Linked DNA regions of Oryctolagus cuniculus. The main gene of each other region encodes a partner of the protein of the gene in region 2 in a complex. Links are inferred from orthologs where the notes say so. Each region holds a gene or a part of one and is shown on either strand. Other genes may lie near its edges.

Region 1 (6,023 bases), on a different chromosome or scaffold from region 2:
AGATTCAGAATTTTCAAAATTTCTCATAAATAGGGAATCCACCCAATAATTAAAGGGCTTTAGGATTCCTTGAAATTAAATCCCATTCGATACTGATCTAAACCTTGTGAGCAGGACAAACAGTTTGAAACTGTCAAGATTTAATGTGTGTAATTAATGACACAGAAATGTTAAGAGGTTTTCCAAAATAGGCTTCCTTCGTGGGTCTAACAGATATCTTTGCATATGCAAAGATAAAACTAGTTTAAAATCTGAAACACAAGACACAAATTCTAAGAAAATCTGAAAACTAGGTTATGATTAGTAAGAGATACAAGGAAGTTAAGAAACAAACCTTTATCATCTTCCTTCAAACACACATCACAGGCTTCAATAATTTGGGCTAAATCCACATGAAGTCCACCTTCTGAGTTCTCTTCCGAGATCTCAGCTCCTTTAGATTTCAGGTAAGCACGGAGTTCAGCAGCCTGTGGAATCAAGCAGGGCTGTATTACTCTGTACAGCCTTTAAGAAGGAAATATACAATGTGTGTATCTAGAAACCTGATTATGACCACCAAAAGCTCAAACCAAGTCTCTCCTACATGTGGACAACTAAAATGCACAAATTGTACTTTTAACTACCACCTCACTTCAGGCTAGAGTGAAGGGCTCCTCCTCCACCAGGCCCAGGGCTCCACAGACACCCTGCAGCCAACAGGGATCACCTCCCCAGGTTCTTTGGTCTCACCTGCACCTTGCCGGACCTCCAGTATAGATCAAAAGCCTTTATATAATCCAGGTTTTTTTTCCGGGGGGAGGGGGGAGGACTAGAGAGAAGAAACCAATGTGACTTGGTAAATTCAACTTTTCTGGAAAGTAATGAATCTTTTATTGTTCAAGTGTATATGTAAACACAGGTACTAGAAAAATTATAGACATTTTCTAAGCAAGAGGGTAATGATATGTTGAGTACTGAGAATCTATTCAAGATAAAGCATTTTGGGGGATATAAAAAGATAATGCTTGTGAATGTTGCCTTGAATACAATATTTGTGTCGAATTACATCTATGAAACAAATGCCAAATGCAGGCCCAGGCCAGAAAGCCCCTTTGTATATATTAAAGGCACAGGTCCCATACCACATGACGTCATCCAGACATAGTACCTACACATCTCTACCAATGCCTTCCTTTGAGAGCTTGGTGTTTACTGTTGCCAAACAGGAATCCAGATGGCTTTTTTTTTTTTTTTTTTTTTTTTTGACAGGCAGAGTGGATAGTGAGAGAGAGAGAGAGAGAGAGAAAGGTCTTCCTTTTGCCATTGGTTCACCCTCCAATGGCTGCCCCAGCCGGCGCGCTGCGCACCGCAGCCAGCGCACCACGCTGATCCGAAGCCAGGAGCCAGGTACTTATCCTGGTCTCCCATGGGGTGCAGGGCCCAAGGACTTGGGCCATCCTCCACTGCACTCCCTGGAAGAGGGGCAACTGGGACAGAATCCAGCGCCCTGACCGGGACTAGAACCCGGTGTGCTGGCGCCGCAAGGCGGAGGATTAGCCTATTGAGCTGCAGTGCCGGCCTCAGATGGCTTTTAAGATAACAAAAATGAAGAAGTCAAACAGGCAGATGAAAGAATACCACCTGTAAATGTGCAAGTATCACATTTTCTAGATTACACACACAAACAGGGGGAGACCATGATTTTTAAACCCCATAAGTACGTTTAGAAACCCCACAAAAATACATTAAAACTGTAGATCCAATAGTGCTATCCTTTAACATAAGAGTTGTATTACAAGCAAGATTCAAAACAAGTATCACCATTATCAGAGACAACAAAAATATGACTGAACAGCCAGGCACGCTCCCCAACAGTCAGGACACCCACATCCAGAGTGCCTGTGAGTCCCAGCGACTGCACTTCTGGCCCAGCTGCCTGCTGGCGTGCTCCCTGTGTAAAGTAGCAGGAGATGGCTGCAGTCTATGGCACCCTGGCAGCTAGAAAACCTGGATTGTGCTCCAGGCTCCTGTCTTTGACCTAGGCCAGTCCTAGCTGTTGCAGGCATTCCGGGAGTGAATAGACAGAGTATCTCTGCCTCCCTCTGCACAGTTCAAATAAAGTAACTTTTTAAATACTAGAATGCATGCTTCTTCATGAAGGAAACATACAATTTGATTGAAATAAAATTAAAGGCATTTGTTCACTTCCTAATTTGTAGACAGAAAGCAAACTCTCCCAGGCCAGCACTGTGGCACAGCGGGTTAACGCCGACCTGCAGTGCTGCCATCCCATATGGGTGCCAGTTTGAGTCCCAGCTGTTCCACCTCCCATCTAGCTCTCTGCTATGGCCTGGGAAAGCAGTAGAAGATGGCCCAGGTCCTTGGGCCCCTGTACCCATGTGGGACACCTGGAAGAAGCTCCTGGCTTTGTATCAGCACAGCTCCGGCCGTCGTGGCCAATTGGGGAGTGAACCAGCGGATGGAGGACGACCTCTCTCTCTGCCTCTCCTCTCTCTGTGTAACTCTGATTTTCAAATAAAGAAATAAATCTTAAAAAAAAAAAAAAGCAAACTTTCCGAGAACTATTGAACAGTTTACTGTTTTTATGCTATCCTCACTAGCTAACAAGTGGTTATGGACCAGTACAAGCAACGGAAAGCAAGTACAGGGAAAGAACTGCCCATTTTTCAACTCTAACCAAGCTGAAAATTTGAGCAGTTGAACTCTGGAAGGAATTGGTATTTTCCTGAAAGGAACAGCTGGTGTGAAACGGATGCGTTCTAAGAACAGTAGCAGAGCCTTAAAAAGGGCCACTTAAAATAAGATCAATGACAAGAACTTCCTCCATCAGGTTCCTTACAGTATGTATGTAACTTCTTTTTCAGGAACTTAACAGCCGATTGTTGGCAAAATGCTTGGTTTTTTTGGTCTTTCATTTTCCTTTCTGTGCTCACCTCCCTCCTTACCCTTGGCATTTCTCGTTGCTTTATCTATCCCCTTCTTACTTTTCAGAGGTGTAGGACTGCATTCCTACCATGAGAGGAAAAAAAAGTCCTACCTACAATTCTAGATGTTAGATCAGAATGAAGCTATGAAAAACAAAATTTCCACATTCTAGTAGTAGAAAAAAATGACAAGCTTATACTACTTCACAGAGTTGTTAGCTATAAAAAATTAAAGACTATGTAATGGCATGTTGGGTTTAATTCCCACCAACTAAACTTTTATTACGGGGGAAATTGTAAACATCGGCTCTGCACATCAAAGAGCAAACTCCAGTCAATTTAAAAATATCAGAATCGCCCACTAAGCGCTATGGAGCGGACACTTGCACAGGGTTACAGAACAATTCCCACTCGTGCACAAGGACGAGTGAAAACACACGGGCCAGCCCTGCCTCTGTGACTGCACAACCCCAAATGCATTCTGATCGTCACCACGCGATGACCTTTGCCGGACTGCTCCTGTGGGCTACCGACTCGCCACCTCCCACAGCGGCGGCGGCTGCTGCACTCGGAAGACGGAAGCAGACACCGTTCCTCGTCAGAAACTTCTCGGCCGTCCGACAGCAGGCTAGCAGAGTCCCGACGCCGACCAGGAAGCGGGCTGGCGGGCCTCGCCGGCCAGCAGCCCCGGGACGCGTGTCCCCGCCTGCCTCGCCGCCTCTCTACGCCTGCACCTACGCGACGGGCGCCCCGGAGTGGGCTCCGCAGGGCGGCGTCGCGTCCGCCCGGCCCCAGCTCGGCCGCGGTCCCTCACGCCCGAGACGTCCCCCCCCCACTCCACCCCGGCGGCACCCGCGGCGCCCGGGAGCACACCTGGTCTTCCTCACTGATGTCGATGAAGGCCGGGACGCTCATGGCGAAGGCCCGGGAACCGCGGACGCTCCACTCGCAAACCACGCCGACCGGAAAAGGGAGCAAAGCCGCGCGGCGGCTCCGCAAACTGCTTCCGGGTCAGCGGGCCCGGGTCCTAGTGGGGCAGGGCCGCGGAAGCCAATCCCAGGGCGTACGACAGCTGAGGCTTGGGGGCGTGGCGGACGCGCTGGGCGGGGCTCGTGGGCGGGACCTGCTGGGCTTCGTATCCGGGATTCCTCCCTGCGGTGTCACCATCCTGAGCCCTGCAAGTGTAAGCCTATTGGGCAGTGAAAATGACTTGTGCGAGAACAAGAACTGCCAGGAGCAGCTGCGGGGCCCTGCCTCGGTGTCCACACCGCCCAGGCTGTGGAACCCGCTCTGGGCGGCCCCAAGACAGCCTTCGCGCAGGCCACTCTCATTTGAAGGCACACACGGAACGCAAACCGCTAACAAGGAATTCGGAAGGCAGCCCAGGGTGCATCGTGCTTTTACAGCAAGGACTCAAGCGATGGAATCCCAGCTGCATCGCTCGAGGGCCACTGCCTATAAACTTCCGGGTTTGCGTTTCCCTTTGGGTACTTACCTGGTTCGAAGGAAAAAACCCTAAGACAGGTTCAGCTTAACAGTTTCGCTGAGCAACGAACGATTTGGAAACTTAGCAGCCCTCAGAACCAGAACAGCTCTGGCCTGTAGCTCGGTCCGGCAGCATTTATGGTCAGAGAACGGAAATGAGGGACAGACGCCTTGATTGGCAACAGCTAGGTGCTTTGCTTTATTGGTGTTAGGTGATCACCTGACATTGCCTGACGCTCAGTTTCGATTGGTGTAAGAGTGTACTAAAGTCTTTCACGTAGTCCTTTGGCAGTTCCTCTTATGAGGCCTGGAGGAGAGGGGCCATCCTCAGGTCACACTGCTCAATTTGACAACTTCATGGGGTTGTGAGGAATAAGCAAATTAAAGTAGAAAGCACTTAGAACAGGTGAGCACGGTATTAGCTCTTATTAAATAATACTGTGTGGGACACGTTACGTAGCGCTATTAAGATAAACACAGAGGCCAGCGCCACAGCTCAACAGGCTGATCCTCCACCTTGCGGCGCCGGCACACCAGGTTCTAGTCCTGGTCGGGGCGCCGGATTCTGTCCCGGTTGCCCCTCTTCCAGGCCAGCTCTCTGCTGTGGCCAGGGAGTGCAGTGGAGGATGGCCCAAGTGCTTGGGCCCTGCACCCCATGGGAGACCAGGAGAAGCACCTGGCTCCTGCCATCGGTTCAGCACGGTACGCCCGCCGCAGAGTGCCGGCCGCGGCGGCCATTGGAGGGTGAACCAACAGCAAAGGAAGACCTTTCTCTCTGTCTCTCTCACTGTCCACTCTGCCTGTCAAAAAAAAAAAAAAAAAAAAAAAAAAGATAAACACAGAAAAGGTGTGCAGGTAGGTGGGTGTGCCCACGCACACAGCCACTCGCGCCTTTTTAGCTAGAGTAATCAAAATGACTCAAATGTATTGTGACTTGAAGGAAATGAAAAAGTAATGACAGATCTTCAGGGAAGCTTTCATGTAAAAGAAAGCAAGGCAAAGGGCCTGAGGCAGGTGCCAGGAGACCTGTGGGCACGGTTTGAGTAAGGGGAGAGCGATAGGAGATGACTTAATCATTGACAGGTGGGGTGGAGGCGCTTGTAGGTCACAGTAAAAGTTTAAGCCTTAGCTCTTAAGGAATCGGGAAGCTTCTGATGGATTTTGGTTGGTGTGAGGTGATTAATTTTTTTTCTTGGTAAGGGATAACTCTGATAAACGATCACTCTGGCAAGCATGTTGGAAACTGACTTAAAGTGGATCAGCAGAGGGACCAGTTAGGAAAGTATTGCAGAAAGCCAGGCAAGAGTGGATGGTGGAGTGCGAATGGGAAATTGATTGGATTATGGATTTTTTTTGTATTGGTGAAACTGGTAAGATTTGCGAACAGATCAGATATGGAGTGTGAGAGAAAGAGGAAGTCAAGGTGACCCCAAAGGTTTGTCCTGAATTTAAGTCCCTGCATTGTAATATTTGGGAGCAAACTACTTACATTGATTGCAAGCCTTACTCTTATCTGGAAAGGCAAGAAAACATAAGGAGGCATTGATGACACACCTGAGACAGTGTTGTTGCTTGTTTTTTTAAAGAGACTATCGAAAATTCAGTCATGAAAAA
Region 2 (5,986 bases):
TCATTTGAGAGGCGGTGAGACTGAGAGAACACACACCCATCTGCTGGTCCACTCCCCAAATGCCGGGGCTGTACGAGGCTGAATCCAGGAGCCAGGAGCTCCATGTGGGCCTCCCGTGTGGGTGGCAGGGGCCCAGGTCCTTGGGCCATCACTGCTGCCTCCCGGGGCCTGCACTTCTCAGGAGGCCTGAATCCGCGGCAGAGCCAAGACTCAGGCCCTGGCAGCCTGAGACGCAGGCTACGCCCAACGGAGAGACTGGAAGCTGGAGCAGGGGAGGGAGGGTCACTCCAGCTGCCGTGGGAGCTGCAGAAAGAGCAGCAACAGGGGGTCAGCTGGGAGGAAGGCCAGAAGCAAGACCCCCCCCCCACAAGCCCAGGGACGCCACCGAGAATCACGCAGGCTCCTTCCCTATGGGGGCGGCAGGCACATCTGGGCCAAAACACGGGAGACGATTCCACTCTGACACGAGACAGAGGCTGCGCAGACGGCCTGCAGCCCGCGGCAACACACACACCCTCCAAGCAAGTTAGCCAGAGCGTCACCCGCGCTCGTGGAAATTCGCGGTGGCCCGCATCCCACCCAGAGTGACACTCAGTCCTCCTTCAGTTCCCACAACTCCCCTACTCATTCAACAACGGCAAACACGCATCGCCCACCACAGGCTGCTCCGGGTCAGACAGAGGCCTGCCCTTGGGGCGCTTACTCTAAGGACAGGCAGCGCCCAGACTAGGGAGCGAACAGTGTTTCAGAGAGCGATGAGAACCCAGGAGGGAAGAGTCAGACGGCACCCGCCGTGGTGTAGCAGGTAATGCCGCTGCCTGCCACGCAGCCATCCCATATGGGTGCCAGTTCGAGTCCCAGCTGCTCCACTTTCAATCCCACTCCCTGCTAAGACACCTGGGAAAGCAAGGGGGGATGGCCCAAGTCCTTGGGCCCCTGCACCCACATGGCCCACCTGCAAGAAGCGCCTGGCTCCTGGCTTCAGATCAGCCATCTGGGGAGTGAACTAGCGGGCGGAAGACCTCTCTCTCTTTATCTCTCTCTCGCTCGCTCTCTCTGCCTCTCCTCTCTATGTAACTGACTTTCAAATAAAATGAATAAATCTTTTTTAAAAGGGGGGGGGGACCGGAGCAGCCACAGGAAACCCCCGCGTTTCTAGGCACAGGACAGGAAGCTGCTAGGAGGCTGCAGACAGGTGTGCGAGGCGGGAGCTGGGCCGGTCGTGCGTGGTGTGCTGGGGTTGGTGCAGTACAGAGGAGCCAGCCGAGAACGGAATGAGGGCAGAGAGAAGGACCCACCAACGAGGTCAGCAGGCACCGTTAACAAAAACCAGGGGACCTGGAAGATGCACGGGTGGGGGCGGGGGGGGGGTGTAAGCAAATGCCTGCGGTTCGCTGCGGCTCAGAATCGCTGAGCTCGCCTGTCTGAGTAATGAGACGCAGCCTCTCTGGACCAGCCACTTAATCATCCTCGTTTCACAGATGAATAAGCAGGTCCAGAGAGGCCAAGTTCACCCAAAAGCTAAGTGGAGGCAGATCTTCCCCTCCCCAAACGGCCACAACAGCCAGAGCTGGGCCGGGCTGAAGCCAGGAGCCTGGAACTGCGTCCGGGTCTCCCGCGTGGGTGGGGGGGCCCGAGAACTTGGGTCACCCTCTGCGGGGAGCGGCACGGGGAGCGGAGCAGCCGGGACTCGAACCCGCACTGCCGCGGGATCCGCGTCGCTAGCGGCTGCGCGGCCCCCGCACACACCCCACCCCCTAAGGCTTAGAGAAGGCACCTCGAGCTTCCCTCCCCGGGACACGGGCTGCGGGACTAGCGGGACCACCTGCAGGACAGGGAGGGTCTGGGGTTGCCTGCCTGACGCCCTCGGAGCCGACGGGGCCGCGGCTCCCGCCTCGCCTCCGCAGCTCACTAAAACAGTCCCGGGCTCCGGCTGAGCCGCATTTGATTAACCATCCACGGATACCACACCCGGAATCTGAATTTGTTGTGAGAAAAACTGCGATGTCACCATTAAGTCCGGTAACTGTGGAGTGAGCGGGTGCACCCTGGCGGCCACCCCGTAAACTAGCAGTCCGAACTGAACCGTGCGGGCGGGCGTCCAGCTGTCAAACACGCGGGAGGAACCCACGCCGCCCAACGCGCTCCACCCAAGCCCCTCCGCGACCGAACGCCGCAGTCCCGCGGGCAGAGCGGCCGGAGCCGCGGGGCATTGTGGGACGCAGAGGGGCCGACGCATCCCGCGAGGCATTGTGGGACACAGCGAGCTGTCAGCCGCTCTCCAGCCTCCAGCTTCGCTCGCCATTGCCCGGCCGCCACGTTTGCCACTGGGAACGCTCTCTGTGAGCGTCCCCGGATGCCGCCTGACGTAACCGTAATCACCCCCTTAGGCGACTTGAAGCCTCGGAAGCTGAGGATGCCTTCGAAAGAGCAGTGACGGATTTCCGGGTGTAGCCTCGCTTTACGGCTTGGGCGTTCCTCCGCCCCAATCCGGGGAAAGCAGGAGAGCAGTTTACGACAGCGACGGTCGTGTTTACGGCGCCGGCAGCTGCGTGCGCATGTTCCCTCCTTTCCCGGTTCCTCCGAGTGCCCCTGGAATTGCCGTCTCCGGCCCGGACCATCTCTCGCCATCCGGGCGGACCGAGGCCTTTGCAGGTGAGCGGCGCGTTTCTCTGGGTCCTGCGGACCTCTGGAGCCCGCTCGGGCTCGTCTCGGCCTTTGGGGTCCTCCCGGAAGAGAGACTTTTACGTCCTCTCGTGCCGCCGCTGTCCCTCCGCTGGGCGGGGCGTGAATCTGCCCGCGGGGCCCTCGGGCCCGGCACGGTTTGGGGGATGCGGGGCGCGCGCTCTCTTGCCCAGGAGTCGGCGGCGCGCCCCCCGTAGTGGCGGCAGAAGCCTAGGACGATAGCCCGCGAGCCGCGGGGCCGCTTCGACTTCCCCGCAGGGTGCTCCCGCCGAGCCCAGCGCCGCTGCGTGGTCTGTGCTGAAGGCGAGGACCTCGGGCAGCTGGCGCGCGGGCCCCGGCTCTGTCACCTCCGGAGGCTGCGGGCAGAACCCGATCTCGCTGAGAGGCTGCGTTTGGGGGCGTGTGGTGGAGAGCCCCGGATGTTTTCCGGGCTTGTGCTGCCCAGCTGGGTTTCTGGCAGCAGCCTTGCCAACACAGTCTGTCCTGAAGCCGGAGTGGGTCGACCGCTTGATCTGGCTGAGCCGGTGACGGCTGGCTCCGAACCGGCCCCGGGCGCAGCGTTCCTGAGACCACCGCCCTCTTCCGCCCTCCTGTAGCTTAGTTGGGGTTCAGATTTGGGGGCTGAAGCTCCCAGGCTTCCCCCGCCGCCGCGGCCCAGATGTCACCTCTGGGGCAGCCGGGAGTGTACCCCGAGTTCCACGCGCAGCTTTTCCCCGGAACCTCACCTGCTGCGGTGGAGATAAGTGCGTGGGTTTGGGATCGGACGTGTCTGGCACACGTGTGCAGAGCCCTTGGTTTTGGGTCCTGGGAGGAGCCGTGACACTGCAGGGCGAATGGGCGCAGGAGCAGGGGCCGGGCGCCGTCTCAGTCTGCATTGTGACTTCCGGCCATCTCTGGCCTCTGCCTCGGTTTTCCTATCTGGGAAGTGGGGACAGTGCCGGCACCTGCCTCGCCGGGTCTGACGCGTGAATTCACGGTGAGACTGAGACCCGGTGCTGTGGGTGAGCATCGAGCGCAGGGCTCCTCGGGGCCTTGGTTGGCGCTGACCCCTGGGCCTTCTGCCTGGCGCTGACCACTCGCTCTGCGCGTGGGCTTTGCACTGGTGGCAAAGACTCGGGACAGGGCGGAGGAAGCTGAACGTCAGTGCCTGCTGGAGGACCAGGGATCCTCAGTGTCTGCGCACTCTGCATCCTAACTGTGCGTGTTCACGGATGGCGAGGCTCGGGCGGTGGTCCTGTGACACAGTCCCCCTCCGCGTGTAGTCGGGGACGTTGGGTGCCGCTGCCTGCCTCGCTCGAGGTGCCTCGGGGCCCAGAGGTTGTTACTCCCGTGTCGGATCTGTGGGGCAGGCTGAAGCCGGGAAGCACCTTGACTTCATGCGTCGCTAAACTGCCGACTGAGACGGCTGCCCTGCCGAGCCGAAGGTGCTCCGGCAAGCCGGGTCCGAGAGCTCATGGTTCAGGGCAGAGGGTAAGCCGGCGGTCTCCGGGCTTGGGCCTTCACCATGTGATGGCCGAGGAGCACGCAGCCGTGGAGTGCTCCGTGCTGTGGGCTGCGCCTTGGGCTCTCCGGTGTGTGCGTTCCTTCCCGTGACGGAGGGATTTCACACTCGCCATCGTCTGTGTTCCCCGTAAGGTCCGAGAAGATGGCGAAGTTCCTGACGCCCGTGATCCAGGACAACCCGTCCGGCTGGGGCCCCTGCGCCGTCCCCGAGCAGTTTCGGGACATGCCCTACCAGCCCTTCAGCAAGGGCGACCGGCTCGGGAAGGTGCGTGCGCCCTTGCGTCCCCTCGCGTCGGGAGAGCGGCTGAGGAGGGCGCTGAGCCCTGGGAGCCGTCCCGGGGGAGCCGGGGGCCATTTCTCCTGGTGCTCTGCCGGCCGAGTCCCTCGTCCTGCTTCTGGCTGACCTGAGCGCCCCCTCTGTGCTCCTAGGTTGCGGACTGGACAGGGGCCACGTACCAAGACAAGCGGTACACAAGTAAGTGCTCGCCCGCTGCCGCCGCGCCAGGGCCTGCGGGCGCCAGTGCCTCCTTGCTAGCCTTCCGGAAGCTGTGTAGACGGGAAGGAGGTGCCAGAGGTCGGCTTGGCTGTGGTGCAGCCATGCACAGACGTCTGGGGGAGGCACAGACCCTTGGGGACGTCTGTGGGACACGTCCCCGTGCGGCAGTCCAGCTTGGGTACTGACCACTGAAGCCAGTCGGTGGACTGCAGGTTCAGTCTGGTTTTCAGACCCCAGTGGCGTGGAAGGGGCTGCCCAGCGCGCCAGGCTCGGGTCAGGGCTGCCGGGTGCCGCGGGACGGGGACGGTGCTGCCTGTGCCCGGGATTAGTGTGTGGTCCCTCGGATTCTCCCTGTAAGGGGCGGGCGCCATTGCATTCCTCAGGCTCTGTCTGGCTCAGGTCTTCAGACCAGAGCGTTCAGACGCGAGTGTGCGTGTGACCTGCTGCTTGCGGCTGCTGGGCCTGGGCCTGGCTGCGGGGCTGCACGCCTCACCAGCTGCCTGCCAGGCCCGAGGCCCGAGGCGCGCTTGGGCGAGCAGGCCTGAGTCCGTGGGGCTGCCCGACACGCTGTCCCTTTGCCCCCAGATAAGTACTCCTCTCAGTTTGGAGGCGGAAGTCAGTACGCCTACTTCCACGAGGAGGATGAGACGAGCTTCCAGCTGGTGGACACGGCGCGCACGCAGAAGACTGCCTACCAGCGGAACCGGATGCGCTTCGCACAGGTGGGCCAGCGGCCTGGCCGAGCGGGGCCGAGCCGCCAGGGCTGCTGCGTGGGAGTTCTCGGGGAGGCGCCTGTGCTGGGTCCAGGCACGCGTTTCAAAGCTGATGGTGGCTGACGCTCGTAGGACGACCTCCTGTTTGCTGGAGGAGAGCTGTGGCCTGCCCGCAGCCCCACTAATTGCTGCGTGCGGGCTTTATTGAGGAGCTCTTCCAGTCGGGTTGCGTCTTCACCGCGTAGAGGCCAACTGGGCCGCTCTAACGAAACGCGGGGAACCTGCTTCAGAGAGCAGCTTGTTGTGGGACATGCATCTAAGCGCCCACCCTGAGGCCCCCGCGGCTGCATCCACAGAGCGCCGTGTCACGCGTGGAGTGTCGCGTACTCTGGCGAGCGCATGGCCACGATTTTAACGAGGTTGTTTGTCCTTGCCGGCCAGCGGAACCTCCGCCGAGACAAGGACCGACGGAACATGCTGCAGTTCAACCTGCAGACCCTGCCCAAGAGTGCCAAGCAGAAAGAGAGGTGAGCCCCTCCCTGCCGGCACTCGGCACTCGGCAACCACGGGCCAGAGCGGGAGACGGCCG

What was found.
Region 1: EIF3D (region 2) and EIF3M share a complex: the UniProt entries of both Homo sapiens proteins name them as parts of the eukaryotic translation initiation factor 3 (eIF-3) complex. The link is inferred for Oryctolagus cuniculus from reciprocal best matches to the Homo sapiens genes EIF3D and EIF3M.

Annotation. Positions count from the first base shown.
Region 1 is NC_091432.1:33,317,567-33,323,589, forward strand, and holds the start of EIF3M (eukaryotic translation initiation factor 3 subunit M), read right to left. Parts: upstream 4,007-6,023; 5' UTR 3,840-4,006; coding exon 3,798-3,839; intron 468-3,797; coding exon 335-467; intron 1-334. UniProt on the Homo sapiens protein: Component of the eukaryotic translation initiation factor 3 (eIF-3) complex, which is required for several steps in the initiation of protein synthesis.
Region 2 is NC_091442.1:113,766,200-113,772,185, reverse strand, and holds the start of EIF3D (eukaryotic translation initiation factor 3 subunit D), read left to right. Parts: upstream 1-2,180; 5' UTR 2,181-2,655; intron 2,656-2,783; exon of another isoform or gene 2,784-3,661; intron 3,662-4,320; 5' UTR 4,321-4,330; coding exon 4,331-4,453; intron 4,454-4,617; coding exon 4,618-4,663; intron 4,664-5,269; coding exon 5,270-5,406; intron 5,407-5,838; coding exon 5,839-5,924; intron 5,925-5,986. UniProt on the Homo sapiens protein: mRNA cap-binding component of the eukaryotic translation initiation factor 3 (eIF-3) complex, a complex required for several steps in the initiation of protein synthesis of a specialized repertoire of mRNAs.